Linked DNA regions of Diceros bicornis minor. The protein of the gene in region 3 interacts with the protein of the main gene of each other region in a pairwise test. Links are inferred from orthologs where the notes say so. Each region holds a gene or a part of one and is shown on either strand. Other genes may lie near its edges. The genes, in order: flavin-containing monooxygenase 3, SFXN3 and CREB3.

Region 1 (10,233 bases), on a different chromosome or scaffold from region 3:
TATATGTGTTTTAGTTGGGAATCTCCTTTTCTTTCTCCTGTTCACTCTCTCTGGTAGCAAGTAACTGACAAAAGGCCAAAGGAAAAGAGATAAATATATATGCTGGATGGTCAGTGTCTTAATTTTGCAGAGTTGGCTAAAAATAAAGTGCTTCTTTTTTTTGGAAGAAAACATTCTCTCTTTAGAAGTTAGAGAGAACTGCAAAATGTAGTTAGATGACTAAAAGGAGTTCTAATCTAGTTTTTTAAAAATATTGCCTTCTTGGGCATTACATAATGATCAAGGGAACAATCCAACAAGAGGATATAACACTTGTAAATATCTACGCACCCAATGTAGGTGCACCTGAATATATAAAGCAATTATTAACAGACATAAAAACAGAAATAGACAGTAACACAATAATAGTAGGGGACTTTAACACTCCACTTACACCAACGGATAGATCATCCAAACAGAAGATCAATAAGGAAACATTGGCCTTAAAGGACAGACTAGAACAGATGGACCTAGTAGATATATACAGAGCATTCCATCCAAAAACCGAAGAATACACGTTCTTTTCAAATGCACATGGAACATTCTCCAGGATTGATCACGTATTAGGCCACAAAACAAGTCTCCATAAATTTAAGAAGATGGATATAATACCAAGCATCTTTTCTGATCACAACAGTATGAAACTAGAAATCAACTATAGGAAGAAAATCAGAAAAGCCACAAATACATGGAGATTAAACAAAATGCTACTGAACAACGACTGGGTTAACGAAGAAATCAAAGAAGAAATCAAAAAATACCTGGAGACAAATGAAAATGAAAATAGGACATGCCAGAATTTATGGGATACAGCAAAAGCGGTTCTAAGAGGGAAGTATATAGCGATACAGGCCTATCTCAACAAACAAGAAAAATCTCAAATAAACAATCTAACAATGCACCTAAAGGAATTGGAAAAAGAAGAACAAACAAAGACCAAAATCAGTAGAAGAAGGGAAATAATAAAAATCAGAGCAGAAATAAATGAAATAGAGACCAAAAAACAATAGAAAAAATTAATAAAACCAAGAGCTGGTTCTTTGAAAAGATCAACAAAATTGACAAACCTTTAGCTAGACTCACCAAGAAAAAAAGAGAGAAGGCACAAATAAATAAAATCAGAAATGAAAGAGGAGAAGTTACAACAGACACCTCAGAAATACAAAAGATTATAAGAGAATACTATGAAAAGCTATATGCCAACCAACTCGACAATTTGGAAGAAATGGATAAATTCTTAGAATCATACAACCTTCCAAAACTGGATCAAGAAGAAGTAGAGAATTTGAATAGACCAATCACCAGTAAGGAGATCGAAACAGTAATCACAAACCTCCCCAAAAATAAAAGTCCAGGACCAGACGGCTTCCCTGGTGAATTCTACCCAACATTCAAAGAAGACTTAATACCTATCCTTCTCAAACTCTTCCAAAAAATTGAGGAGGGGGGAAATCTCCCTAACTCATTCTACGAAGCTGACATTACCCTGATACCAAAACCGGACAAGGACAACACAAAAAAAGAAAATTACAGGCCAATATCACTGATGAACATCGATGCGAAAATCCTCAACAAAATACTAGCAAATCGCATACAACAATATGTTAAAAAGATTATACACCATGATCAAGTGGGATTTATTCCAGGTATGCAGGGATGGTTTAACATTTGCAAATCAATCAACGTAATACACCACATTAATAAAATGAAGAATAAAAATCACATGATCATCTCAATAGATGCAGAGAAAGCATTTGACAAGATACAGCATCCATTTATGATAAAAACTCTGAATAAAATGGGTATAGAAGGAAGTACCTCAACATAATAAAGACCATATATGACAAACCCACAGCTAATATCATCCTCAATGGTGAAAAACTGAAAGCTATCCCTCTAAGAACAGGAACCAGACAAGGATGCCCACTGTCACCACTCCTATTTAACATAGTACTGGAAGTCCTAGCCAGAGCAATCAGGCAAGAGAAAGAAATAAAAGGGATCCAAATTGGAAAGGAAGAAGTAAATCTGTCACTATTTGCAGATGACATGATTTTATATCTAGAAAACCCTAAAGAATCCACCAGAAAACTTTTAGAAGTAATAAACAAATATGGTAAAGTTGCAGGATACAAAATCAACATACAAAAATCAGTTGCATTTCTGTACACTAACAACGAAGTAGCAGAAAGAGAAATTAAGAATACCATCCCATTTACAATTGCAACAAAAAGAATAAAATACCTAGGAATAAACTTAACAAAGAGGTGAAAGATCTGTACACCGAAAACTATAAAACATTTCTGAAAGAAATTGAAGAAGACACAAAGAAATGGAAAGATAGTCCGTGCTCTTGGATTGGAAGAATTAACATAGTTAAGATGTCCATACTTCCTAAAGCCATCTATAGATTCAATGCAATCCCTATCAAAGTTCCAACAACATTTTTCACAGAAATAGAACAAAGAATCCTAAAATTTATATGGAACAACAAAAGACCCCGAATAGCTAAAGGAATCCTGAGAAAAAAGAACAAAGCTGGAGGTATCACACTCCCTGATTTCAAAATATACTACAAAGCTATAGTAACCAAAACAGCATGGTACTGGCACAAAAACAGACACACAGATCAATGGAATAGAATCGAAGGCCCAGAAATAAACCCACACATCTATGGACAGCTAATCTTTGACAAAGGAGCCAAGAACATACAATGGGGAAAAGAAAGTCTCTTTCAAATGGTGTTGGGAAAACTGGATAGCCACATGCAAAAAAAATGAAAGTAGACCCTTACCTTACACCATACACAAAAGTTAACTCCAAGTGGATTAAAGACTTGAATTAAGACCTGAAACTATGAAACTTCTAGAAGAAAACATAGGCAGTACGCTCTGCGACATCGGTCTTAGCAACATCTTTTCAAACACCATGTCTGACCGGGCAAGAGAAACAATAGAAAAAATAAACAAATGGGACTATATCAAACTAAAAAGCTTCTGCACAGCAAAGGAAACCATCAACAAAACGAAAAGACAACCTAACAATTGGGAGAAGATATTTGCAAACCATACATCTGATAAGGGCTTAATCTCCAAAATATATAAAGAACTTATGCATCTCAACAACAACAAAACTACCAACCCAATTAAAAAATGGGCAAAAGACATGAACAGACATTTCTCCAAAGAAGATATACAGATGGCCAACAGACACATGAAAAGATGTTAAAAATCACTAACTATCAGGGAAATGCAAATCAAAACTACAATGAGATATCACCTCACGCCCGCCAGAATGGCTATAATTAACAAGACAGGAAACAACATGTGTTGGAGAGGATGTGGAGAGAAGGGAACTCTCATACACTGCTGGTGGGAGTGCAAACTGGTGCAGCCACTATGGAAAACAGTATGGAGATTCCTCAAAAAATCAAGGATAGAACTACCATGTGATCCAGCTATTCCACTGTTGGGTATTTATCCAAAGAACTTGAAAACACCAATTTGTAAAGGTACATGCACCCCTATGTTCATTGCAGCGTTATTCACAATAGCCAAGACTTGGAAGCAACCTAAGTGCCCATCAAGGGACGAATGGATAAAGAAGCTGTGGTATATATACACAATGGAATACTACTCAGCCATAAGAAACGATGAAATCCAGCCATTTGTGACAACATGGATGGACATTGAGGGTATAATGCAAAGTTAAATAAGTCAGAGGGAGAAGGTCAAATACCGTATGATTTCCTTCATTAAGTAGTAGATAATAACAACAATAAACAAACACATAGGGACAGAGATTGGATTGGTGATTACCCGAGGGGAATAGGGGAGGGAGGAGGGTGAAAGGGATAATTCGGTACATGTGTGTGGTGATGGACTATAATTAGTATTTTGGTGGTGAACATGATGTAATCTATGCAGAAATAGAAGTATAATGATGTACACCTGAAATTTTTACAATGTTATAAACCAACGTTACTGCAATAAACAAAAAATTTAAAAAAAAATATTGCCTTCTTGGTGCAAAAATAAAGTTTCTTATTATTCCAAAGAGTGATATAAAAAAACACAGGTTTTCAGCAATACTGCTGCTGGAAATGTTCTCTGGGTGTTTGCACAGGTGACCATGGGGAAGAGAGTGGCCATCATCGGAGCTGGTGTCAGTGGCTTGGCCTCCATCAGATGCTGTCTGGAAGAGGGGCTGGAGCCAACCTGCTTTGAGAGGAGCGAAGACGTTGGGGGCCTGTGGAAATTCTCGGTGAGTGGGATGTCACTGCAACAGACTGGAAAGTGAGGCGGGAAGTGGTGAGAACACATTGTCTAAGCACAGGCTTCCAAACCAGCTGTCATGGCGGTTAGAATCCCTCCTAGGTTTGGAATCTATGAAGCACAACATCAGAAGCAGGGTGGAAAGTTGTCCCTTACTTACTTCAGACGTAAATGAGATGGTATGCTAGCCTTGAAGGTGTCTGTGTACATTATTCACCCTTGATAAATCATTAATATGTGAATCACTCTGCGATAAAACCCACCTTGAAATACTGCTTAGGTTTATGTAAAATATAATTGCTTGAGTTACACATTTAAAAAACAATGGCTGGGGCCAGCCGGGTGGCGCAAGTGGTTAAGTGCGTGCGCTCCGCTGCGGCAGCCCGGGGTTCGCCGGTTTGGATCACGGCCGCGCACCGACGCACCGCTTGGCAACCCATGCTGTGGCGGCCTCCCATATAAAGTGGAAGAAGATGGGCACGGATGTTAGCCCAGGGCCAGTCTTCCTTGGCAAAAAAAGGAGGATTGGCAGATGTTAGCACGGGGCTGATCTCCTCACACAAAAAAATAAATAAATAAAAATAAAAAATAAAAAACAATGGCTTTTTCCATTCTTTTGTTGATGTTACTAGAGGTCCTCTTAGTGACTCAGACCACAGATGTTAAGGTTTCAGGTGCTGATTTTGGTCTTGCAAAAACCACATAATTAATGAGACAACTACAGAAGGAATCAAGAATAGGACACACTGATCTGAAGCTCTTCAATGCCCTTTTGTCTCTATCATAACAAAGATGATAGTTATAAGCAGACATAAATACGATAATAATAACAATGATAGATATAAGCAAATATGCTTACATGCACCAATTAAATCACTTCCAATGTTGCCTGACAACCACATCAGCATAGGTAGGGGCTGCCCTGTGCCCTCTACTCCATCATGTCTCCAACCTTAGAAACACTATTTGGCAAAGCCTAGCCCATCTGTCTTCTTCTTCTTCTGATAAACTATTAATATATATGCAAATTTAGGAAGATCGATAGTCCTTTTTAAGCCACTATTTCCTCCTCAAATGCAAAATTAGTATTATATTTTATACCTCAATAAAAAGGTTGTATTTAGGGATACAGTGTCTATGACAGCTCTTTAAACATTACAAAGATATATGAATTTTGTTAATATAAATATTTTCTAGACTGTTGAGAACCCTTGAAACCACCCAGCATCTTGTATAATGTCATGGAGCCTAGTATATGTTACGGTAATATGCTGACAAAGCTTCAAATCAGCATATTGATAACTCTTGGGACTATTTTATTGAGCACTTCCTGTATGCCAAACACCTTTTCCCATTTAATTCAATCTTTATAATAATCCTATAAGCCAGGTATGCTGTTTTCCTTTTTACAAATGAATCTGAAGCTTAAAAAGAAAATTAAAACTCACACATCTATGGACAGCTAATTTTCGACAAAGGAGCCAAGAACATACAATGCAGGAAGGAAAGTCTCTTCAACAAATCGTGTTGGGAAAACTGGACAGTCACATGCAAAAGAATGAAAGTAGACCATTATCTTACACCATACACAAAAATAAACTCAAAATGGATTAAAGACTTGAAGGTAAGACCTGAAACCATGAAACTTCTAGAAGAAAACATAGGAAGCACGCTCTTCGACATTGGTGTCAGCAACATATTTGCAAGCACTATGTCTGACCAGGCAAGAGAAACAATAGAAAAAATAAACAAATGGGACTACATCAAACTAAAAAACTTATGCACAGCAAAGGAAACCATCAACAGAACAAAAAGGCAACCTAACAATTGGGAGAAGATATTTGCAAACCATATATCTGATAAGGGGTTAATCTCCAAAATATATAAAGAACTCATACATCTCAACAACAAAAAAAACCAACAAGGGGCCAGCCCGGTGGCGCAAGCGGTTAAGTGCACACGCTCCGCTGCGGCGGCCTGGTTCGCCAGTTTGGATCCCGGGTGCACACCAATGCACCGCTTGTCAAGCCATGCTGTGGCAGCGTCCCATATAAAGTAGAGGAAGATGGGGATGGATGTTAGCCCAGGTCCAGTCTTCCTCAGCAAAAAGAGGAGGATTGGCGGATGTTAGCTCAGGGCTAATCTTCCTCACACACACACACAAAAAAAAACCAACAACCTAATTGAAAAATGTGCAAAAGACCTGAACAGACATTTTTCCAAAGAAGATATACAGATGGCCAACAGACACATGAAAAGATGTTCAACATCATTAACTATCAGGGAAATGCAAATCAAAACTACAATGAGATATCACCTCACGCCCATCAGAATGGCTATAATTAACAAGACAGGAAACAACACCCGTCGGAGAGGATGTGGAGAGAAGGGAACTCTCATACACTGCTGGTAGGAGTGCAAACTGGTGCAGCCACTATGGAAAACAGTATGGAGAGTCCTGAAAAAATTAAGGATAGAACTACCATATGATCCAGCTATTCCACTGCTGGGTATTTATCCAAAGAACAAGCAAACACCAATGCGTAAAGATACATGCACCCCTGTGTTCATTGCAGCGTTAGTCACAATAGCCAAGACTTGGAAGTAACCTAAGTGCCCATCAAGGAACGAATGGATGAAGAAGATGTGGTATATATACACAATGGAATACCACTCAGCCATAAGAAACGATGAAATCCAGCCATGTGTGACAACATGGATGGAGCTTGAGGGTATTATGCAAAGTGAAATAAGTCAGAGGGAGAAGGTCAAATACCGTATGATTTCCTTCATTAAGTAGTAGATAATAACAACAATAAACAAACACATAGAGACAGAGATTGGATTGGTGGTTACCAGAGGGGAAGGGGGGAGGGAGGAGGGCGAAAGGGATGATTAGGCACATGTGTGTGGTGATGGACTATAATTAGTATTTTGGTGGTGAACATGATGTAATCTATGCAGAAATAGAAGTATAATGATGTACACCTGAAATTTGTGTAATGTTACAAACCAATGTTACTGCAATTAAAAAAAAATAATAACTAAGGTAAAAAAACATAAAAATAAAAGAAAATTTAAAAATGGTAAATGCTGAAGACAAGATCCCAATTCAAGCAGGCCTTTCTCTCCAGCCTGAATTCTTAACCCCTTTGTTAACTGCTGGGTGCCATTTCAACAAGTGGCCTATTGAGCTGGCCAGCTCTTCTACACAGTGATCTTAACCAAATCCTCATATTCAAACTGACTTTGCAAAACATTACTGAATATAGACACTGCTAATATGGCTTTTGAGAGCAGCTGCTCTCTTGCTGGTCAAGGAATACTTTCAAATTTGAACCTGGCATCATAGATCGATAAACCACTCAGCCGCAAACATGTGCTACCCTTGGAGAAAAAGAGAGAAGAGCCCAGAGCAGGGAACCTCAAGCCCAGAGGCTGGAGCCTTGAGCCACAGAGGGCTATTCCCAGGTCGTGACACCTAATGAAGTTTACCCTGCTGGATTTCAACATTGCGTGAGACTGGTAGCTCCTTTCTTCCTTCCATTTTTTCCCTTTTGGAATGGGAATATCTGTAACTGGTACCATATGCCTGTCGCATCACTGTATTTTGGAAGAAGATAATTTGCTTTCTAGTTTCACGGGTTCACAGATGGAGAGGACTTTTCTCCCAGGATGGATCATACCCAGAGTCTCATCCATACCTGATTTAGATAATTTAGATGATGAGCTGTGGGACTTTTGAGCTGAGGATGTATAGATGAGATTCAGGACTTGATTTGATGCTGCAATGGATTTAGACTTTGAAATGTTAGGATGGGGTGAATGTATTTTGCAGGTGGGATAGACGTGAATCTTTAGGGGCCAGACAATGGACTGTAGTAGGATAAACAATTGAACAATGCATTCCCAATAAAGATATCAGGTCTTAATCCCTGAGACCTGTAAATGTTACCTAAAAAGGAAAAAAGGATATTTGCAAATATGATCAAGTTAAGAATCTTGAGATGGTGAAATCATCCTGGATTATCTAGTGGTCTTAAAATGCCATCACATATATCCTTATAAGAGAAAGGCAGAGGGAGATTTGACAGAAGCAGAAGAGAAAAGGCGATGTGATCACCTCAGCAAAAAGAGAGAGAGATTGGAAGATGCTATGCTGTGGCCTTAAAGATGGAGGAAGGGGCCATTAGCCAAGGAATACAGGTGGCCTCTAGATGCTGAAAAAGTCAAAGAATGCTGGCATCCACCAGAAGCTGGAAGAGGGAAGGAACGGATGCTCCCCTAGAACCTCTGGAATGAATATGGCCCTGTCGACACCTTAATTTCAGCCCAGTGATACTGATGTGATTGTAATATTCTAATATTATACTAAAAATGTATATTCTGGGGGCCTTGACAACTTTGAGTTATATGAGCCCTAATTAGAAATTTCCAGTGCTCAGTGCTTTCCATTATGAAGTAGCAAGTATATGTAGAAATCCACAGTTTGACCCTTCTACAGAGAGAAAACCATTTTAGGTGGAAATGATGCTAATTTCTTTAAGGAAAAAAATGGTTTTCTTTAGACCACCATTTGAGGTTTTATGGACTCTTTAAAATTGAAAATGTTATCTTAAAATTAGATTAATGTTTTCTTGGCTTTTCTTTTTTTTTTTTTTTTGTGAGGGAGATCAGCCCTGAGCTAACATCCATGCTAATCCTCCTCTTTTTTGCTGAGGAAGGCCGGCTCTGAGCTAACATCTATTGCCAATCCTCCTCCTTTTTTTTCTTTTTCCCCAAAGCCCCAGTAGATAGCTGTATGTCATAGTTGCACATCCTTCTAGTTGCTGCATATGGGACGCAGCCTCAGCATGGCCGGAGAAGCGGTGCGTCGGTGTGCGCCCGGGATATGAACCCCGGCCGCCAGCAGCAGAGCGCGTGCACTTAACCGCTATCCTTGGCTTTTCTTTTCTTAAGGATCCTGGTTACTTTTGACCAGATGGTACCTTAGTAACCACAGCATCTTGCACTTTGGTCTGTCACTAGTTGATACTCAACAAATCCTGTACTTTGACAAGATGAAACATGCCTTATTTTCAAGTGCCCATGGAACATTTCTAAAACTGATTTTTTAACCAAAAATCCTCAATAATCTTGAAAAAATATATATAAATAAGATGAAATTCTCTGCTAACAATACAATAAAATAGAATGTTGTAACAAATTGAAGAAGGGAAACACTGCCACCACGAAATTTTAAACTTTTCTCTTAATGACCTATTAATTAATGTTCTAGAAGTTTGAGCCAAATCAATAAGACAAGCAACTGACAGTAAAAAAAAGAGAAAAAAGGAAAAGAGGAAAAATGATCATATGCTTACTATATGGTTTTATACCAAGAAAATCCAAGGACATCAATTGGAAAATTGTTGCAAATAATAGGAATACAATGAAGTGAATGATCACAAAATTACTAGATAAAAATCCACAGTGTTTACATATTTTAGAGTTAGCAAACTGGTTCTTTTTATACTATAGATGATCTATTTTATTTGACCTATACAGTTCTTAAAATTTCGATCCAATATTTTAAAATCAAAATATTTCATGTAAAATTCTAGAGATCTGTTTTCTTTGGAAAAATCAGAAGATCAGGCAACAGTGGATCTCTTCATACTCATAGTAATAACTGGCCCCTTTTAGACTGAATTTGAATTCTCTGTTTCACCATATTCATTTTTGGCTCACTTCACTCATTTCTTATAACTTTTTCTGCATCTGTAGAGTTTGTTTTGACCAATGCTATGTGCAAACAATCCCTTAGACTATGTGGAACAAAAGACATACCCACTTGCAAAATTTTCCATCTCTCCTTCCTTACACAGTTTTATCATCCTTTTTGTTTAAATAAACCTTGTAACCATGTAACCTATAACCA
Region 2 (10,233 bases), on a different chromosome or scaffold from region 3:
CAGGCCATGCTCAGAGCCGCCCCGCACACTGAACCCCAGCCTCCCTGCTGGACTCTTCTCCACCCGGACTGCATGGATGATGTCGCTCTCATCACTGTTGGCTGTGGGGGGGAGACACAGGCATGACTTCCATGCCCATTCTGGGCACAGAGGGCACCCTGGGTTCCCCAGCTTGGGTCCTGCAAAGGCTGGGTTGCTGGGCACAGGCACCTAGGGCCCTAAATGGGGCGGGGGAGCCAATTTCTGAGTCCTCTCTGGGTGATCTTGAGACCATGGCCAAGGATGGTGCAGAAGCAGGTAGGACAGGACTCCATGCTAGAAGACACTGTTCTCCTTCCCTCATAATATAGGGGTATGTGTGTGTGTATGTGTGTGTATCCAATGCTTACTAAACTTCCCATGCCCACAGGCCTGGAATAGGCCAAATTCCTAAAAATCCTGCCACTCTGAGGGTCAGATGGATAGAAAAGAGGTTCAAGACTCCGCTCTCTAGAGCACAGTTGAGGGAGTCTGTGCTCTTCAGCTTGCAGCAGAAATGAGTATGTTCATTCTATCTTCAAATAGTTGAAGAGCTATTCTGTGAAAGGCATTAGATGTTTTTGTCTGTGTAAGCCGGAGGGCAGAACCAAGCCCACATAGTGGAGTGAGATGGAGGCAGATTTACTCAGAGAAAACTTTCTAAAACCAGCTGTCAGACAATGGAATGAATTTTCCAGGACAGAGAGTGAGTACCCCATCTTTGGAGGCATACAAGCTGAGACTTGGTAAATCCCTGTCTGGGATGTTGTGGAAGGATCCCTGAGGACCCTTTTATCTCCTAGACTCTGGGATTCTGGGGGTGAGGAATGTAGGAGCTACCTGACTACACGAGGACAGAAACCCAAAACACCACCATGCTGCGGTACATACCCAGAGCCCAGAGCAGTCCTCTCAGTCAGTACTGGGGCAAGTCAGGGGAAGGGGGTCCCTAGTGGCTGGAGCTGTCAGGGAAGGTTTCTTGGAAGACTAAGATGGGTGGGATTTGGATGGGGGAGGGGAAGGGGAGGGCACTGATGAGGATGGAGGGAGCAAGGGCTCAGAGGTGGCTCCATGAGGAGGCCTTTTGCTTAGAGAAAAGTGAGAAGGCTGGAGGGGTAAGTTGGCTTCCGGGTGAGAAGGTGAGATTTCTTCCTGGGCAAGGCTTACTCTAGCTGTGTTTGAGAGGGAGAAATCACACACACCCACACACATACACATACACGTCTCTTTGATCTAAGAGAAATCAGGTTACAGTGCATGACCAGGGTGGCTCAGGAAGAAGTCCCCAAGGGGAGCCTGTGGGCAGGGATGATACAGGAGAGACGGGGGAGATCCTGGGGCTTCCTGGCTGATTCTGTCTGCACAGGCCTCAGGACCTTTTCGGCCCAGCTAGGGAGACTTTTGCTCTCCCCCCTGCCAACGCTCTTTCTCCTCAGTCCCTCCCTGGGCCTTCCTAGGGCCCTGGGCCAGGGGATGCCAAATCTGGGGTTTTGAGCCTAGGAGCTTGGGGCCTCTGAGGATGGAACCTTCTCTACCTCCACTGCCCTAGCCTGGGCCACCAAGCTCTCCCTCCAGGCACTCTGTTGCCTCCTTACTATCTCTCCACTTCTGCTCTTGCCCCCTTTAATCCATCCTTTACACAATGGCCAGAGTCAGCCTTTATAACATACCATGCCTTTCCTCTGACGAAAAACTTTAATGCCTGCCCCTGCTTCTAGAAGGAACTCCACACTCCCCCCATGCCTAACAAGGCCCTCCATGGGCTTTCCTCTGTGCCCCTCTCTACCCTCATCTCCCTGGCCTCACTGAGCTTTGGCCACACTGACCTCCTTCCTGTTCCTCCCGCAGGCCATGTCCTTTCTCTCTGCCTGCAATATCTTGCCCAGACATTCAGAAAGCCGGCTCCTAGGCCTCAGTCCCTCCTGACTCAGATACCACTTTCTCAGAGAAGCCTTCCTAGAACGCTACCTAAGAAAGTCCCTTCCCCCTCCTCCCACATCATCTCTGTTAGAGTGGTTCTCAAAGTGTGGTCCCCAGACCAACAGCATCAGCAGCACCTGGAAACATACTAAAATGTGAATTCTCAGGCTTTACCAAAGACCCACTGAGTCAGAAGTTCTGGGTGGAGGACCCAGCAATCTGTCTTTAACAAGCCCCCCAGGCAATTCTGATGTATTCTAAAGTCTGAGAACCACTACTCTATCATATCATCCAAATTAGTACCTTCAAGATTCTTACCATCCTTGCTCATTATTTGCTTATTCATATTATTATTTAGTATCTGTCTCCTTTCACTAGACTGGAAGCTCAGTCAGGGTAGGGACTTTGGAATTCCTTTCCACCAACATATCCCCAGTATATTGCACAGTGCTTAATATTTGCTAAGTATTTTTTGAATAAATAAAAGAACAAATGGATGAATGAATGAATAAACAAGGAGCTAGGAGAGTGAGGAGAAAGGGCTGGTTCGGATTAAAGATAATGCATTTTCTCTGGGACCAGTTGAGTTTGAGGAGCTGGTGGGACCTCATGGGGGTGATGTGGGTGGCAGTCTTCCCCTTCCCACTGTGTCTCCTTTTCAGTTACTTTCAGCCTCTGGAATGGTCTCAATAATAACATAGGAGAGGGGTTGCAGGCTGCAGTGAGTTGGGAGATGTTTGTAATCAGGCAGAGGGGAGGATTCAGAGGCTCCCAGCCCAGACAGGCTAGGGGCCAGCTGGTCAGAACAATGCCCCAGTACTTCCATTGCTAGAAGATGCTGCTCCCCTGGCTGCACCAGGGCACTAGAGTGAGGCAGAGGGACAGAGCAATCATGGAACTTCTGGAAGAGGATCTTTAGAGGGACAGTGGACATAGCCCTTGCACCATAGCCAGCACAGTGCCTGTGGGTGTGTGAGGTGAGGTAGAGCATAGTTCTTTGAATACAATGGGACTCATAGGGGCAGGGCTGCAGGGTCTTCCCCCTCCCCTCCATGTCTCCTAGCTCCTCTGGGGACTTCTGCTCCATGACCAGAATGACAGTGGTGACCCTCAGCAGCGCCCTGCTGCTCACCTGAGGGTGAGGCCAAGCATGGTGGATGATGAGGGTGAGCACGCTGGGCCACCAGGTGCAGGAAAGTCTGCTCCCTGAGCAACATGCTCCACCCCTGCCCCAGTGGCCCGGGTAGGGGAACAGAGATGCCCAGCTGGGTCAGAGGGGAGGAGCAGGGTCTGAAAATTCCAGTCTAGGATCCAGCCAGGGAAGCTCTGCTGGCTGAGAGAGAGAAGGGGAGCTGGAGATATTTATCTGGTCCTGCTCACAGAAAGCCAAGGCCCAGGGGGCCCCCGCTCCCCCAGTGGCATTCAAGGTCTTGCCTTGCTCACCGGCTCTTTGTCGCCTCACATCTGTCACTATAGCCAAGCTGTCTCCTAAGTGCCCCGCCCGCCCCCCCCCCACCGTGCTCCGTGCTTTCCACCTCCAACCTTTGTCTGCGACACCTCCACCCCACCACCAGCTGTTATTGTTCTGTCTCTAAGCCCTGCTACACTGTAAACTTCTGGAAGGTGAAGATTGAGCCTTATTTCTCTCTAGGTCCCCTGTAGGACCTAACTAGCGCTGGCATAAAATAGCTGTGCAATGAAACAGCATTAAGCAACTGCATAAGATTAGGTGTCCCCCTCCTTCAGGGCCCAGCCATGGGGCTCCCTCCCTGACCCTCTACCCTCCTCTTCTCCTCCCTCATTTGCTGCTCTACCTCTATTTCCTTCCTTCTGCACCTGAAGCCTTTAATTCTCTCTGCCTAACTGGGCACTGACACCTCACAGCCCAGCACAGAGCTGGTCACACAGTGGGCTGCTTGATGGAGGATGTCCTTCTCCATCCTGCCCCACCCCCAAAGGCATCCACAAATGGGTTTGGAGAAAGGCAGAGTCCATGGGAGGGAGGGGCCAATTCAATATCCTGCCTTGCTCACTTGGGGGCTAGCATACCACACATACCTCCCTCCATGCCCCTATCTCCCACCTCTGACCTCTCTATGATCCTGGAACTCTAAAGGATTAGCCTGAAAGTGCGAAAAGGATAGATGAGGAAGAGAGTATGGGTCTCCAGGCGCCCCCCATCCCTATGACTCCCATCTCTTGAGTTCCCCCACTCATATTGGCTCTGCCTCCTCCTACTTGGCACCCGCTGTCCCCTACCCACCCCCTCAGCTCCCAGGACCATGGCAGGGCCCCGCTCCCACCTTCGATGGGGGAGTTGATGAGGATGACTCTGCCCATGGGCGATGAGGCTCGGATTCCACGGGGGGGCCCATTAAGCAGCCGCCGCTTCTTCCTCAGCAGGTATCGCGTTGCGGAGCCCGAGTCGCTGCCCAGGTGGCCTCGGGAGGAGAGGGAGCTCAGAGAGCCAGAGCTTAGGTCTCCGAGGCCCAGGGGGTCGAAGCCTACTGCAAAACCGCGCGCCATGGTGGCTAGACTGGGATGGCGCCCTACAGGTCCAGAAGGAACCTGCTAGCTCTCAAGAGGAAGGCCCGGCGTGCTCCGAGCTCCATGAGCCTTCTGTGCGGCACTGGGGTCTCAGTGACCCGAAGCCCTCCACCTCCGCTGCCTCTTGGGAGTGTGTGCTCCAGGCCTGCGCAGGGAGAGCAAGGATTGGGGGAGGGGTGTGAAGGCTGCCCCCCAGAATTTTCACCCTTCCCCCTAGTTTGAGCATCCTGACCTCCCATGCCTTAGGCCCCTCACCTCTCCCATCCTTGGCCAGAGAAACCCCCAATCCAGGCACCATCGTGGACTTTTGGAGCTATTTATACAACAAAGCAGGTGGGAACCTCTCATTCACCTCTCCTTCCTGCTCTCAGCTGAGTCATCTACTCCCGTCCCTGGGCCTCAGTAGAGGTTGAGAGAGTGGAGATGGGATAACTGAGGGCCCTAGGGCTTCAAGCGGTGTGAGAGAAAGTGGGGCCAGGAGAGTTCACTGCACCACCTCTCCTGTGTATGTGGGTAGGGGGCCAGCTCCTGGGGCGCGGGACTCAAGGGCAGGGCTTCAGGGCCTGGGACAGCTGTAGCCAAGGCCCCCAGAGATTCCCAGGGCCCCAGAGATTCCCTGGCCCCCAGAGGTCCCCAGGCCCCAGGCTGCTGTCCCCTTCGTCCCTCTTCCTCTCCTATCTAAAAAGGTTGCGTGAATCTCTCCCAGGCTTGCGGGTGAGGACCTGCTGACGAAAGCCCCACGACATCCATCGTAAAACCTGGGGCCAAATACCCCAGAGCAGCTCTGGGACCCAGAATGCAGCATCCTACCCCCGGCTCCGTCCTCCCGGCCCCCACCTCTCAAGCTCGGTCCCCCTCACCTGCTCGCGTGTGCGGCAGCCGCCGGCCTCGCCCGCCCGCGGGCGCGAGTGACTGCAGAAGCCTGGGAACCCCGCCCACGCTCCGCCGAGGCTGCAGGAACAGGGCTGGCCTGCGCAGCCCCGGGCTCCCATTGGCTGGGAAGGCCGCCAGTCACTCTCTCCTGCCACCTCCCTTGGGCGCCCAGGACAGCTGTTTGTCACCTAGGCTGCGGCAGCTGAGTTATATCCGCTACAGTTCGAGTTCTGATGCCCCACCCTGCCCCGCGAACTCAGCGCAGGGAAAGCCCAGAACCCCGTCTTCTCCAGGCCAAGGCAGCTCCCAGGGCTCATGGAATTGCCACACCTCCGCGGTCACCCCTGAGGCCTCAGTGAGGGAGTGTCACCTGGGCAGAGCGGGCCTGAGCCTGCGGTGGGCAGGAGCGTGGACTGGGGTCTGGGTGTGCAGCAGCTGTGCTCTGTACGGTGACTGGGTGAGTTGTGAGTGTTTGTGTGGCTGAGCTTTGCCTTCTTCACATGCATCCCCCTTCTATGTCAGAAAGTGTGTGGACAGCCAGTCCTGGAAAGGACGCAGGGCGGGGCAGTTGGTCCCAGAACACTAGGGGGCGGAAGATTCTTTCTGATTCACTTGCTGGAGCCTTCTGTCCCTTCACATCGCAGGGCAAGGACTGGGGCTAGGGTCTGTGGTGCAGAGGTAGGGATTGGAAGCACAAGGAAACTGGGGACCCAGAGGAGCTAGGGGTTTCAGAGGCGAGTAAGGAGGGGCCTGGGGAGGAGGAAAGGGCTGGGGACATAGAAGGGGCACAAGCAAGAGGAAACGGGACTGTGAAGGGGTGCGAACGCCGAGGTGCTGCGAGAGGAGCTTGTGGGAACCGGGATAGGCGCCCAGGGGGCCAAGTAGGCGGAGGCCACTGCCAAGGTAGCCGTCAAGTAAACAAGCCGGGAAGTAACTCGAGTCCCTCCGAGCGCACCACCAGAGCGATAGCCTCTCCACGCCGCCCGCCTTCGCCCTGGATACCTAGACCCCTTGCTGCAGAGGCCGGGTGCCTCCCGAGGCCAGCCAGGGGACTGCAAGCAAAGCGGGCAGCACCCGCGGCTCCTCCCCTCCTCTCTCCCGCTGGGAATCCGGCCAGAACTGATCCCTGAGCCCCTATTGGCTCTGGGAGGCAGCGTGAGGCTGAGTCCCAGTAGCCGGGGCTGGGGGCGTCGCCCCAAACGACACCCGCCGCCCCCGGACTCTGCCAATCCGGGGCACACCGGGCGGACGTGCCAGGGGAGCCCCCGCCCCTCCTGCTGGTTAGCGTCACGCGTGACGTTACGCGTGATGGGTTGGAGGGCGGGGGTGATGCGCGAAGAAGAAGGCAGATCTGAGAGCTGCAGAGGCCGGGAGCCCAGGAGCCCAGGAGCGCGTGAGTCCTGCTGCCCCGGGCGGGTTCGGGCGGGTTCGGGGGTCAGGGGAGTAGGGAGTTGAGGGCTGGGAGTCGGAGAGGGAGGCCTGCCTTGAAGGGTGCTCTCTGTCCTGTCCCATTCAGCATCTTTGGCTCTAAGGAGGTTCAAGGGACATAAGAGGAAGTTGGTAGCGGGGAGGAATGTCAGGGTGGGGCTCTGAGTGGTCACACATTCAAGCGTCTGCATCTGATGGATATGGGCTGTGTGTGTGTGTTTGTGCGTGCAAGTAAGTCTTTGTGGGCCACTGTATGCAGGGCGTGTCCACCCTGTTTGTATGTCTATGTAGGGCTGTGTGATGGTGTCTTTGTGTGTGGGTATGTGATTGTGAGTGTGTGAGAGAAGGGAGGGTGTGTCTGCCTGTGAGGGAGGAAGTGTGGTTGGAGAGGATTAGTCATTCTGTAGGATTTTGCCCAGTGCAGCCAGATGGCTGCTCCAGGCTCTCTGTGCTGGCTGGAGGGGGCACTTACTGAATCCTGCTCCTTTCTGGAAGCAGGTAGCTCAGGGAGAGGTAGATGAGTGTCTGTGCCAGCCCTGCCCAGCTGGGGAACAAGGAGAGCCTTGAGCCTTCAGTGGGGGTTGAGGAAGGTGGGTCTTGTGCATGCCCATGAACACACACACACACACACACACTCTCACACGGCTGGCATCAGAGTCCCCTGTTTGAGATCTGGAATAGATAAGCCCTAGAGAGGCCAATGAGATCTTGCTCTCCTCCAATCAGGGGCTGGGGTGTGGGATGGCGTATACTATCTTCCCAGACAGCCTTAGGGGTTTGTATCTAGGTCTCAAGGCAGCTGGGGCCTAAAGCTGACAGGAACAGAGATGTGTGATGCATATAGAATGCATTTTTGTGCATACAGAGCACAAGAGTAACTGCATAGGATTAGGTGCTGCTCATGCATCGACGACACACATATAAATCCTCACTCATGAAAATCTGCACCAGGCCACAGCATAAGATGATCTATTTTTGTGGTTCTGTTCTCCTCGCCCCCTCCCCCAGTGGCTACAGATGCCTGGGCCAAGACAATGCCTAGAAAACAGCTCCTCCCCCAACCCTTGCTTACCTATCTGGAGTCACTTTGAGCTCTAGAAGGGATTGGCAATAGGCCCAGGGACCAGGGCAGGGCCACCAAATTCTCCCCCAAGTGGAGCCCTTGGACCCCCTCCTTGGAGTCCTCTCACTCTGGTCCCTGCTCTGCAGAAAATGGGTGAATTGCCCTTAGATATCAACATCCAAGAACCTCGCTGGGACCAAAGCACATTCCTGGGCAGAGCCCGGCACTTCTTCACTGTTACCGACCCCCGAAATCTGCTGCTGTCTGGGGCACAGCTGGAAGCTTCCCGGAACATTGTGCAGAACTACAGGTGACTCCCTACCCCATCTGACCCTGTACCCCACGGTCTCATTCCCTGCCATTAATACAGTACCTTTTGTACCTGCCTCCCCAAGCTTGAGAGTGAGCCTGTCCTACTCATCAGTCCCCTCACTCCCTGGCCCTGTCTGCTGGAATCACAGATAGCTGTGGCACAGAGTTTTAACCCAAAGGATTTTAGGGTGTGGCATTGATAGTTATGGGGGGGGCGCTGCTCTGTGCCTCACAGACCCTCTATAGAGACCTATCCCATTGCTGGGCCACCCTCTGCAAGGACAGAGGGGCTCAAAATTGAGTCTCAACAAGGTAGGAGGCCATCCCCTTTGTCTCCAGGAGGAAAAACCCTTGCAATGCCCTCAGCCATTTTTGACCCATTGGAAACCACCAGTACCCATGACGCAGCACTTAGGCAGAAACAGAAGGGCACCCCTCTTTGTGTGGCTAGAAGGGAAATAGAAATAGGGCCCCCCCCCACACTTTCTGGGAAGCTTTGACTCTCCCCCAGAGACAAGGAGCCCCTTTATTCTAAGATTGGGGGCCAGAGTGCCTGGTCCTCTGCCCAGACTTCCCCTGAGCTGAGTGGGCAGGGCTTGGGAGGGCAGATCTGCCCTCTAGAATTGCCTGTCTGCTCCCTGCCAAACTCTGCAGGGCCGGCGTGGTGACTCCAGGGCTCACCGAGGACAAGCTGTGGAGGGCCAAGTATGTGTATGACTCTGCCTTCCATCCGGACACGGGGGAGAAGGTGGTCCTGATTGGCCGCATGTCAGCTCAGGTGCCCATGAACATGACCATCACTGGCTGCATGCTCACCTTCTACAGGCAGGTCCTGTCCCGGTGTCCCCTCCCTGAGCGCTCTGTCTTAGCCCGAGTGTGGCTTGATGACTAGGTGCTTCCTTTCTGGGCCAGTTTGGGCAAAAAATAGTGAGTGGGTGAGATCTTGTGTCAGAATCCCTTCCATTCCTCAGAACTCAGCCCTGGGGGGTCCTCCCAACCCAGAGACAGTGGCTGTGTTTGTGTAAGTGAGGAGGGTCATGCAGGGGTCACCAGAGCAGGTTCTTGGGTCATTGACTGGGTCCCTCCTGAGTGTTTGGGATTAACCTTTGGGGTTTCATTATCTGGGTCCAAGGATGAGGGACATTGTAGAGGAGGCAGAAGTAAGTGTCCTTGTTCCCTCAGGAAGACCCCAACTGTGGTGTTCTGGCAGTGGGTGAATCAGTCCTTCAATGCTGTTGTTAACTACTCCAACCGCAGTGGCGACGCTCCCATCACTGTGAGGTGAGAGCCCGTCCCCAGGGACGCTTCTCCCCTCCTTGCCCAGCACTGCTCTCTCCCTTTTGCTCCTGTTCTCAGAGGGCCCGTGCAGCCAGTGGCTCAGCGCCCTCCTCTCAGCCTGCCCCCCTTCCCCACTTTCCTGGCCTAACTGAGGGCATGGGTTCCTCTCGTGTGTCCTTTGGGGACTCACTCTTCTTCAAGGGGAGGGATTGGGGCTTCCAGACAAGTCTACACTGGAGCCTGGGAGGTATTTCTCTGCAATAAGGCCACCCTCCCACGCCTCATGTGTTGAGGATTTGGCATGTCCCTGAAAGAAAGAACCACATACTGAACTGTTCACCTCTCCCCTTGTGTCCTGCCTCTTCCACCCACAGGCAGCTGGGAACAGCTTATGTGAGTGCCACCACTGGGGCTGTGGCCACGGCCCTGGGACTCAAATCCCTCACAAAGGTAAATGCCCCCCCCCTTCCACTGCAACCCCATTCACCCTTTATCCACCTCCTTCTTCCCCATCACCCCACCACCTGACCTATAGCCTCCCCACATGTCTCCTCAGAGTTCCCCACCACCCCATAGCCCTTAGGGCCGCTAAATGACCTCTTTCCTCCCCCAGCACCTGCCCCCGCTGGTCAGCAGATTTGTGCCCTTTGCAGCTGTGGCAGCTGCCAACTGCATCAACATCCCTCTGATGAGGCAGAGGTGAGTGGCCCCGACTCCTGGCGTGTGTGTGCCCAGGGTGCATCTGGGCACACCATCCAGCCATGTAGACCAGCCCAGAGTGGGGACAGTCCTCT
Region 3 (10,233 bases):
CAATGCCCCCCCAGGTTCCCCTCCCAGGGAACTCCTCCTCCCTCAAGACATTCCTGAGATGCATTCCAGAGAAGTTGGGCAATTGGGGGTGGGGGGGAATGGAGGACAGCAGGTCAAATCCCAGCAAGGAATGGAATGTTAAGTGTACTGGGGATAAGAAATTTGGGGTACACAGAGAATACAGTTAGAGCAGATACCCACAAAGGAGCTGCAGAAAGACAGGAGTTACAGAGAGGGACAAAGGGAGAGAGAAAGCTGAAGACAGAGTCAGAATGTAAGAGGGTTGGGGGAGCAACACTCAGTCTGTTACCAAATTTGGCCTCTGAGTCTGCAACCGCGGGGAGCGGGGGGAGGGTTGTGGGTGAGACTGACATATCCGGCCTCAGGCTGCTGGAGGCTCATTTAGGGCTGGACTGGGCAGCTGAAAGGCTGGACCTGACCTCCCCCAACACAGCCCCTCCCCACCTCCACCCAATCCATGCATATTTATTCTCTCCAAATGCACCCCAGCCTGCGCACAGAGCTCTTTCCTACTAAGCTACTTACACTGTCTCTATATATGTTATCTCAAACATGCAGCCCCTACACAGATCCCATCACAACCACGTTATCTTCCTGTAAAGACGCCATCCCATGCCCACACCTTCCCCATAAATACACCTCTATCAGCAAGCACACAACTCGCCCCAACATCTCTCCTCCTATTATGTGGACATTCTCCCTCCATTCATCCAGCAAGCATTTCTGAGGGTCTGTTGTGGGGAAGGCCCCCAGCCAAACTCTGAGTGGCTGGGAACCAAGAAAAGTAAGCCCTAGCCTTTGTCCTCAAGGGGCTCCCAGTCAGCTGAGTGGATAAACTAAATACAGTTGTAAAAGAGGGCAGGATGTGGTAAGAGCCAAGAGGTGTGTGCTCAGGGGAGAGATCCCTTTAGATGAAAAGGGGACCAAAAAGTCTCCATGAAAAGTGTCATTTGAAGTTAGGATTTTAAAAAGTAAAGATAATAAGAAATACTAACAATCTTTTATTGACTATATGTCAATTGCTTTGTATACATAATTTCATTTAATCCTTACAACAACCCTGCAAGGTAGGTGTCATTATCTCCATTTTTACAGATAAGGAAACTGAGGCTCAAAGAAGTTAAACACTTGTTCAAGGTGCTTGTCCAAAGTCACACAGCTAATGAGGTGTGAAGACAGGATCCGAACCCAGGTCTCTCTGACTCCAAAGCCCAAGCTCTCTCCACTAGGCCAGCTGGAGCTGAGTCAGGGGTAGCATTCCAGGCAGAGAGAATAGCATAAGCAAAGGTGGAGAAGCAGGAAATCAATCGTGGAGGAGCATTCAGGGAAGTGAGAGGCAGGCTGGTTGAAGCGCAGCATACCTGCAAGGGAGCAGTGATGGGGAAGTTAAGATGAGGATGGAAAGGCTGGTGAGAACTAGGGAGAGTATGAGGAATGATACCTACTAGGGGGCAACAGGAGGCCAAGGGAGGCTTTCAGCAGAGACGGGACATAACCAGAACCAGATTTTAGGAAAATAACTCTGGCAGTTACCTTGGAGATTAGTTAGAAGGATACTGCATTAGCAGAAGTGAGGGGTAATGAAGCCAGAGTTAGAAGGGTGGAGAGGATGTCACTCATCAGAAATTTTAAGAGGTAGAACTGATAGGAACTGATGACAGTCTGTCCTGTCAACCCTCAGGGACCAGGGCCCAAAGTCAGGCTGGGGTCCCATAGCTTCTTGTCATCAGCAGTCACTCAGTGGCTGGGCAGCTTGAGTTTAGGTCAGGAATTGGGAAGGGGGGAAAGAAAGTATAAGGACAAGCTGGGAATGTGAAGATGAGGCTGTGGTTAGGAGATGTGGTTAGGCTGAGGGAAAAAGGGATGGGGATGTGGTTAGTACCAGGTAGAGGGGCAGAAGGGATGAGGTCAGTGACTGCATTGGGCTGGAAATGGGGAAGATGAGGTGTAGAGAAAGGCTGGGGAAGATGGTAGGAAAAATACATATATGATCAGTCACTAGATCAGGCTGGGGGAAACGGAAGAATAATTATGTGGACAGTGGCTAAGTCAGGGAATGATGCAGTGAGGTCAGAAGCCAGGTCAGGCTACGAGACTGAGAAGAGAGGGAGCTGTGGTCAGTGGCTAAATTAGGATGGGATGGGCAAAGAGTGAAGGGACACCAGCAGTGTCTAAGTAAAGCTGGAGTTGGGGGTGGTGCATGGGGTGCAGCCAGTGGCTGGGTCAGGCTCGGTAGGGGATAGTGCTGTGGTCAGTGGCAGGGTCAGGCTGGGAGTGAAATGGGGGTGTGGTCAGTGGCCTGGCTGGGCGTGGGATCAGCAAGACCCAGTTTCCTCTTTGGGTCTCATTTCCTCTTTTCTGTCAGGGGAGTGGGGGAAGGGGATCTACAAGTGGACCAAGAAATTAAGGCTTAGAATCAGGGATGGAACACAGCAGGCATCGGAAGTACTTGGCAGTTGTGTTGGGCTGGGGCTGGAGTATTCAGCAGATGATCAGGAGGTATTCAGGTAGATGAGCGGGTGAAAATGGTGGGAGAGTGCTTTAAGATGATGGGAAAGCTCAGAGTTGGGCGACAGTAAATTAAGGTAGGATGTGTGCGGATTAAGGGGTGGGAAGAGAGGCAAAACTGAGGCTGGGAACACATGGCAAAATGAAGAACATGAGAGAGTTAAAGACAAGGGAAGCATTCTGTAAGGGGGTATGCAAGAAGGGTGTGAAATGCAGGGCCAGGGAGGAGAGCTGGAGTGGAGAGCTTAACATTGAGAGAATGAGGAGAATGGGAAGCAATGGGGCTGAACTTTCAGAGGATCAGTCATCCCCCGCTCCTGTGGCAACAGTGTTTTCTTGGTCTGCTTCCCCCTTAGTCACCAGTCCCCTTTCCTCTAGGCAGTCCCCTACTCAGGACTAGGCCTTACACATCTCCTGGGTCCCTGTCCCTTTCCCACCTCCTATCTTGTAAACAACATAGTCCACGAACCTCTGCCCCTCAACTGTTGTGGCCACAGCAAGAGCCTTGGGCTTAGAGAGTAGAATAAAGCAGCTGGAGTCCCAGATGCCTGCAATTCTAGCTGAAACCCAGAACCCTAGCCTGAAAATAGTCTGTCATTTCTCTGGGCCAAAGAAGCCCCTGCGACTACACAGAAATGAGAGACCTCCTCGCAAAACAGGGCCTCTACCTACCACTAATCTTAAATTTCACGTGTCCGAGATCCACTATCCTGACCTCAACCACAACCCCTAAAACTGCCCCTAATTCCTAACACTAACCCCAACCCTAATGTGTTTCCTGTTTCCCAGTACTGGCTTTGACATTCACCCCTTTCCTAGCAGACACCTGTATCCAATCCCTGATTTCTAATATTTACCTTTAAATGGTGCTAAAAAGCACCAAAGCCCCTGACCTTAACCCTAAATGTTGACCCCTAGGTCTAAAGCTCATTTGCCACTTGATTCCTGACCCACCTCTTCACTTTTTATCCCTAATACTGACTATGCCAACGTTCTCTTATCCCTAAAACTAGACTTCCAACCTAATTCCTGTTATTGACCTCTAACCTGACCCTGAACCGTAACTTTGACTTATCTTGGCCACCCTAAAAAACAAAATAATGACCGTAATCCAAACTTCACCTACATAAAACGGACCTGACTCACACTAATAACACTAAATTTTAACCCCGGCTTCATACCTCCTAAAACTAACCTTGAGTCCTAAACCGAACTCCACCTAATCCCAAACTCACCCAAAGCTTTCCTATCCACATACCCGCTGATCCTCAAAGCCGATCCCCGCCCTGCGCCTCACTACCACCCCACTCCTCGCCCTCCCCAAAACCTATCCCAGGCCGAGGACTGCTCCCAGGAGGGGGCTGGCTCCCGCAAAACGGCCTACTTAACTCCGAGCCCAAACCGAGATACACTGGCCGCTGACCTCTCCAACAGGACCCGCAGGAGGAGACGCAGGAGGGTCGGGGCCCCGCCCGCCCGCCTCCCGGCCCCATCCTGAGGTTCCGGCTGGGCCCAGTCCGGCCTACCTGCGCTGCCCGGCTCTGTGCCCCGCCCGCCGGCCCGCTACCGGGCTCGCTCGTCCTCCCGGTGGCTCTCGGGCTCCGGCCTCGCCCTCCCTTCGACACTCCGGCGGCCACTTCCGTCCCCGGAGCGTCCCCCACCCGCGGGCGGCGCCCTGTGCCCGCGCTCTATGGTTTCGGGGACTGAAGGAAGCTGCTCTGGCCCCAGCTCTCGATGCTCGGGAACCCTCCGAAGACCCGCAGGCCCTCCCTGGCAGGAAGCAAGGCTGCGGCGCGATCCGGAGAAGACGCCCCAGTTCCCTTTTAGGCTCGAATCCTTCCTTTTTCTAGCTTGGGGCGAAGGCGGAGCCGCATCCCAGAATGCCCGCCCTCAGGCTGTGAGGAAGCAGCAGAATGCCCGCCCCCTCGATTTGCATGGCTCCCGGGACGTGGCGCCACTTCCGCACTAGGGGAACTCCGTGTCCCAGAATGCCTTGGGGGCATGGGCGTCACTTCCGTTGTGTTGGAAGCCGGGGAGACTTGAGTTCAGGAGGCGTGTCCCCTTTGAGAGCGTCGGCTAGCAGCTCCGGGGCAAGCCCGGTTGAAGACGGACTGACGTTAGGGGAGTGTCTTGCATGGGGTTCGGGGTTGGGGCCAGGTGGAGGGGCGAACCCCTGTGTTTCTACGCATCCTTTCCGTAGATGTCCCATATGGAGCTGCCGTCGGACCCGGGTGACCAAGACCTGCTGGACTTCCTGCTAGAGGAAAGCGGAGATTTGGGGGCGGCGATCCACGAGGCCGTGGAGGCTCCGCTAGACTGGGAGCTGCCGCTTTCTGAGGTGGGTACGGGCTCCGAGTCGGGGAGGCGCGGGGCGGGGAGGGGGGCGTCCTTGAGGCAGGGGGTGGTGATAGGTCAAGGCCTGTTAATTTGAACCCTGTGCAGGTACTGAGGGATTGGGAGGCCGAGGATTTCCTGAGCTCTCTGCTGAGTCCCCCAGCGTCGTTGAACGTTCTCAACTCTTCTAACTCCTGTCCTGTCCACCATGATCACACCTACTCTGTACCACAGGAACATATTTCCATAGATCTAGGTGAGTCTGAAGTAAGAGAAGTTTTGGGAGAGGAGAGGACTGATGGGCTTGGCTATTCATATTTTCTCTTTTGCAGATAGCGGGAGCTATGGAAAAGAGGGGGCCCAGATGACTCCATTGCATGTAGAGGAGCCAGCAGAGCAGGTACTTGATTTGATTTACGGAGGAATATTCCCACATTGCATGGGTGGAGGTAGGATTCCCCATTCCTCTCTGATATTGCCTTGCAACTTTGCTGCCACCTCCCTGGAACCCCAGGAGATTGCTAGGCTGATACTGACAGATGAGGAGAAGAGGCTGTTGGAGAAGGAGGGGCTTACTCTGCCTGGGACACTTCCTCTCACTAAGGTAAGACTCCCATTGGTGGAGCAAGGCAGCAAAGGAAGTTGAGCCCCAAGTAGGCCAATTCTGTTAATTTTATATCAGTAACTTGAAAAAGGACTGAGGTGAGAAATTTAGCAAATTCCCTGCTAATAGGAAGCTGGTGCATGTAGTTAATATGCTGGATGCAAGAGCTGCTCCTGGTTTTGTGGGGCTTATAAAAATTTTGGTGTTTTCTTTAAGAAAAAAGAATTCCACATTATCAGTGCAACATTAGTATAGGGCATTGGAAAGGACTGTGCAAGTGAGGGGCCCTGACACATTTCACTGGCTTCGTGGTAATCCACCTCTTGTTGAATGGTAGAATTAAGTTTTAGAGAGTTTATCAAGGCTGGACCAAGCAATATAACAGGAATAAATGTAAAATTCTGAGCTTTAAGTTTCAAGCAACAAATGGCAACTTCACAAGCACAATATTGTGACACTGTGATGAAATCGACATTCACTGACAGAAAGGTTAAGAGAATTTTAATTTCTTAAAAGTACAAGATGAGTCAGCAATGTGATATGGCTACTAAGAAAGTGAATGGGGTTTGGAGGCTGTAATCAATAGAGGTGTTGCCTCTAGAAGGGCAGTGACTATCTCTCTTCTTTATACTGGCCAGAGCACATCTGAGTGTTTAGTTTTGAACCCAGATCTTTGACAGATATTAAACGGATGCAGTCCATACTGATAAGATGACGAGTTAAAAATTTTGCCCAGATTTTTTTTGACTCTGAAGAAATGTCAAGCGCCTTAAAATAGCTCAAGATCATTTGTTCTATATGGCCCCAGAGATTAGGTACTAGGTAAGTCCAAAGGCTAGAAATTAGAGAGGCAGATGTTGGCTCAGGATAAGGAAGGTTTTTTTTTTTTTTAATTAAAATTATTAAAAGGGTCCGGCCTATGAGGGCATTAACACCTGGTCCTTGGAGGCATTCAGACAGAAGCCAAGTGCCTGTTTGTCAGAGAAGCTGTAGAAGGGATTCCTGCACTGGGAAGAAGATTGAACTCAGTTGCATTCCAACTCTTTGGTCCAGTGTTCCTCTGATGATAACTTTTCCTGCCTTCTCTCAGATGGAAGAACAAGTTCTGAAACGAGTACGGAGGAAGATTCGAAACAAAAAGTCTGCTCAGGAGAGCCGCAGGAAGAAGAAGGTGTATGTGGGGGGTTTAGAGAACAGGTATAAACGGGAGAGGGACTCGGTGGTGGGGTATTGGAATTGGAGTTCCAATACCTTCCAAAAGTATTGCAAGTGTTAGGTTTTTGAAGGGAGGATACAGGCCACATCCCCACATCCCTGTTATTCCCCTAGGGTCTTGAAATACACAGCCCAGAATCTGGAGCTACAGAACAGAGTACAGCTCCTGGAGGAACAGAATCTGTAAGCAGCTCTGCAACATCAGTCCCTTCTCATCCCTCCTATTTGGCGCTGTCTCACTTTTTCCTTTGCTCCACACTTGATTTCTAACTGGGCAGCTCCCACATGCAAGGTCTGGTGGTTGGCCCTTACTGGGTCTCTAATTCCAAGCAGCTCACAGTAATGGCGAGTAAATTCACAAGTAACTAATGATAAGTACCAAGAAAGAGAGAGGAGAAAGAGTAAGAAAGACCTCATGGGGCAGATGGTATTTAATAGCAGATAGGATTCTTGTGGGGGTGTTGAGAGTATTCTAGGTAGAGACCACAGCATAGTCCAGTCTGACTGGAACTCTTTAACATGAGTGGAGTCAGAAGGAAGAGAACATAGAATGCCTGGTGAGAATTATGTGCATAGCTGATGGGGCAGTGTAGGAAGTACTGAAGGTATGTGCAAAAGAGTTTTAAGTCACGCCAGAGCAGAGGGATATTTTAATGAGGAACTTCAGGCATTTTGTCCACAGAGAGAAGTCATTTGCAAAAAGTAAGAGAGGATCCAGTGCACAGACGGAGGGAGTGGCCTTAACAGGAGGGTTTCACTGTATCTCAGGGTGCCAGGCCAGGGGCTGCTCACTGCCCTCTTCCCCTAGGTCTCTTCTGGATCAGCTGAGGAGACTCCAGGCCATGATGATTCAGATATCAAACAAAACCAGCAGCAGCAGCACCTGTGTTCTGGTGAGGATGCTGATGGAAGGAGAGATCCTCTTCTCAGGCAGCAGGGACAGGGATGCAATCAAGAGCCCTTCATCACCTCCTGTTTCCTGTACTCCAGGTCCTACTGTTCTCCTTCTGTCTCCTCCTCGTACCTGCTATGTACTCTTCTGACACAAGGGGGAGCCTGCCAGCTGAGCGTGGAGGTGAGAGGCTTGAGGATACCATTAAGGGCGGGCTAGGGGAGAAGCCTGGCTTGCCTCTAAAGAGTCTTTGTCTTCTCAGTGTTGTCCCGCCAGCTTCGTGCCCTCCCCAGTGAGGACCCTCACCAGCTGGAGCCGCCTGCCCTGCAGTCAGAGGCACCAAAGGACAGCTCAGACCACGTGCTCCAAGCTCCTGGCAACTCTTGCTGCCTGTTCTACCACGTGCTTCAGGCTCTTGGCGCAGAGCCTCCCCTGAAGTTGCCACTCCCTGACCCCTTCTCAAAGTCCCCCTGTCCAGGTCCTATCTTTCCTCTGCACACAAATCGCACGGGAGGGGGGATGACTTCCTACTCACAGCCCCACACCTGTCATCTTGCAGGGCCCATACTTAGGCTAGATGTGAGGATGTGGGGGACCTCAGCAAGAGCCTGGGGCCCCCAGTCTGTGTCCAAATAAAAAGGAGTGGGAGAGGGCTAGCCTCAGCTCCTGTGCCCTGTCAGGAAGCCTGAGGGCTCAAACACACCACACTTAACTGGCTTTCTGGGTCTTTTATTTGTACCCATGTATGTCTATCACTCCACGAATGGGCCTGGGGGAATCAACTGACCTCCTTGAACATTTCATGCAGTGAGCGAAAGGAGTGAGGAAAGAAATAAATAAGTGATTCTGATGCCTGGGTCAACCTCAACCCCTCTTTACTGGCGCAGTTGGGTGGGGAGAAGGGAAAGGGATATGATTGTCCTGGTGGCTCAGGGATGCAGGAGACTGGGGAGGGTGCGGGTGGGGGGTGGGGGGCCAGGGGCCAGAGGGAAGGCCAGGTTGGAGAATGGACTGTTAGTGCCTCCCTCCCACAGTTCAGAGAGCTCACTCTAGGCTCAGGTTTGCCATGGCTTCCTTTGGTCCAAATTTAGGCCCTGTGCTTAGTCCTGTACCCTGTTCGGCTTTTGGCCTTGAGGCTTTTTTATGCTGCTGCTGCTGCTGCAGGGCCAGCTGCATGGCCCAGATGCTCAATGGCCGCATGTAGGCCAGCGAGCGGTACACCTGCTGCTGGCAGTATGCCTCAGGAGTTTGGAAGGCCAGGCCCAGGCGCTCCCAGACGGTACGGTAGCAGCCTTCCGCTGTCCGGAAGCCCTCCCAAGTCAGGCCCTGTAGGGAGAGATGGCAGTCATATTACTTGACAACCCCTGACCTCAGGTCAGCTGGAGAGATGGAGACAATAGGATCTCTGCCCTCGGGGAGCTCCTAGCTAGTACAGGGAGAATCCTGAAGGCAGGAGATGGAATGCCGGCCAGGGAAAAGGCCGAGGCTTTCTAGATGGATCAGATGGGATGGGTTAGGCCGTACAGAAGTGTGACAGCTGAGGAAGTTTGCTGGGCCAAGGTATAGATGGTGGAGAGATGGGGAAGGGAGCACATTACCTCCTGGATCATGGTGGCTGCCAGTCCATAGACCACACCCACCCAGACTTCATCAGACTGGACACTGGTTCTATCAGGGACACCATGGGGCTGCATCCCATTCACAGCCCCCATGGCCCCTCCTGCAAAGGCCTGGACATTGAGCTCGAAGATAGTTTGGAGAGCACGGACTACGTGTGGGATAGGAAATACCTAGAAGGGGCAAGGACAGAAACAAGTCTCTTATACTTGCTTCCCACCTCCAAAGAAAACCCACCTTTCTCTCTGGTTCCTCCTTCTAGTCTCTCTCACCTCAGTGTCTCCTTCTCCTAGGCCACAGGCCCTCAGGAACCACTGGCCAGCACACTGGTCAGACATGATGCTACGAGACTGAGGGTGAGAGCTGCAATCATAATTGTAATAGCGGCCTGGAGTAGAGGAAGGGCAAAGTAAGGCTCCTTGCATCCCCATGGCTGCTTTAAGACTCCTCAGGACCCTCCAACTCACCGTTCCACAGCAGTCTCTCATATGCTTCTTGGCCCCGGCTGAGGATGGAAGAAAACCTATCCTGGACGTCCTGTGCCCCACACAGAGCAGCCATCCGGACCATCACAGCCACAGCTGCCAGCCACAGTCCTCCACAGTAAGCACTGATCAGGGACATGGGTTTGGGGGTCATACTGGCAGCTCCGGCCACTCCCATGCAATATAATAAGCCTTGAGCCCACAGTCCCTTGGTGCCCAATTCCCCATCTCAGGTCCCATGGAAATCCCTACCCCCCAACCTGGGGCCTGTGGTGACCCATCCATCATAGGTCTGATCTGCATAGCCTCCATTCTCAATGAGTCCATCTTGGTCCTTGTCAAACTTCATTTCAGACTCCATCACGGCCTAGAGAGGGACCAAGATACTGAAGACTAAGGAAAGACAATAATAGCCAGCTGGGCTCTCCCCAAGCACCAGTCCTGCCCCTGGCACACTGGCCACTGCACATGCACCCCTTACCAGACACACAGGCCACATGTCTCTCAGGAAGCCCTGGTCACCCGTCAGGTGATAATCCCGATAAATCTGCAGCACA

Evidence for each region.
Region 1: the proteins of CREB3 (region 3) and flavin-containing monooxygenase 3 interact in binary tests that used the Homo sapiens proteins (3 or more experiments, as listed by UniProt). The two-hybrid records come from large-scale screens. The link is inferred for Diceros bicornis minor from reciprocal best matches to the Homo sapiens genes CREB3 and FMO3.
Region 2: the proteins of CREB3 (region 3) and SFXN3 interact in a two-hybrid assay, tested with the Homo sapiens proteins (2 studies listed by BioGRID and IntAct). The two-hybrid records come from large-scale screens. The link is inferred for Diceros bicornis minor from reciprocal best matches to the Homo sapiens genes CREB3 and SFXN3.

Annotation. Positions count from the first base shown.
Region 1 is NC_080743.1:94,802,572-94,812,804, reverse strand, and holds the start of flavin-containing monooxygenase 3, read left to right. Parts: upstream 1-4,170; coding exon 4,171-4,302; intron 4,303-10,233. UniProt on the Homo sapiens protein: Essential hepatic enzyme that catalyzes the oxygenation of a wide variety of nitrogen- and sulfur-containing compounds including drugs as well as dietary compounds.
Region 2 is NC_080745.1:66,219,259-66,229,491, forward strand, and holds the start of SFXN3 (sideroflexin-3), read left to right. Parts: upstream 1-5,611; 5' UTR 5,612-5,815; intron 5,816-6,179; exon of another isoform or gene 6,180-6,751; intron 6,752-7,995; 5' UTR 7,996-7,998; coding exon 7,999-8,159; intron 8,160-8,815; coding exon 8,816-8,990; intron 8,991-9,343; coding exon of another isoform or gene 9,344-9,347; coding exon 9,348-9,442; intron 9,443-9,813; coding exon 9,814-9,889; intron 9,890-10,052; coding exon 10,053-10,138; intron 10,139-10,233. UniProt on the Homo sapiens protein: Mitochondrial serine transporter that mediates transport of serine into mitochondria, an important step of the one-carbon metabolism pathway.
Region 3 is NC_080767.1:4,150,147-4,160,379, forward strand, and holds CREB3 (cyclic AMP-responsive element-binding protein 3), read left to right. Parts: upstream 1-4,537; 5' UTR 4,538-4,729; coding exon 4,730-4,867; intron 4,868-4,971; coding exon 4,972-5,119; intron 5,120-5,195; coding exon 5,196-5,263; intron 5,264-5,377; coding exon 5,378-5,467; intron 5,468-6,557; coding exon 6,558-6,664; intron 6,665-6,796; coding exon 6,797-6,865; intron 6,866-7,490; coding exon 7,491-7,575; intron 7,576-7,672; coding exon 7,673-7,757; intron 7,758-7,836; coding exon 7,837-8,210; 3' UTR 8,211-8,424; downstream 8,425-10,233. Other genes in the region: GBA2 (non-lysosomal glucosylceramidase), read right to left, coding at 8,619-8,900, 9,173-9,364, 9,464-9,579, 9,659-9,801, 9,937-10,043, 10,158-10,233. UniProt on the Homo sapiens protein: Endoplasmic reticulum (ER)-bound sequence-specific transcription factor that directly binds DNA and activates transcription. Plays a role in the unfolded protein response (UPR), promoting cell survival versus ER stress-induced apoptotic cell death.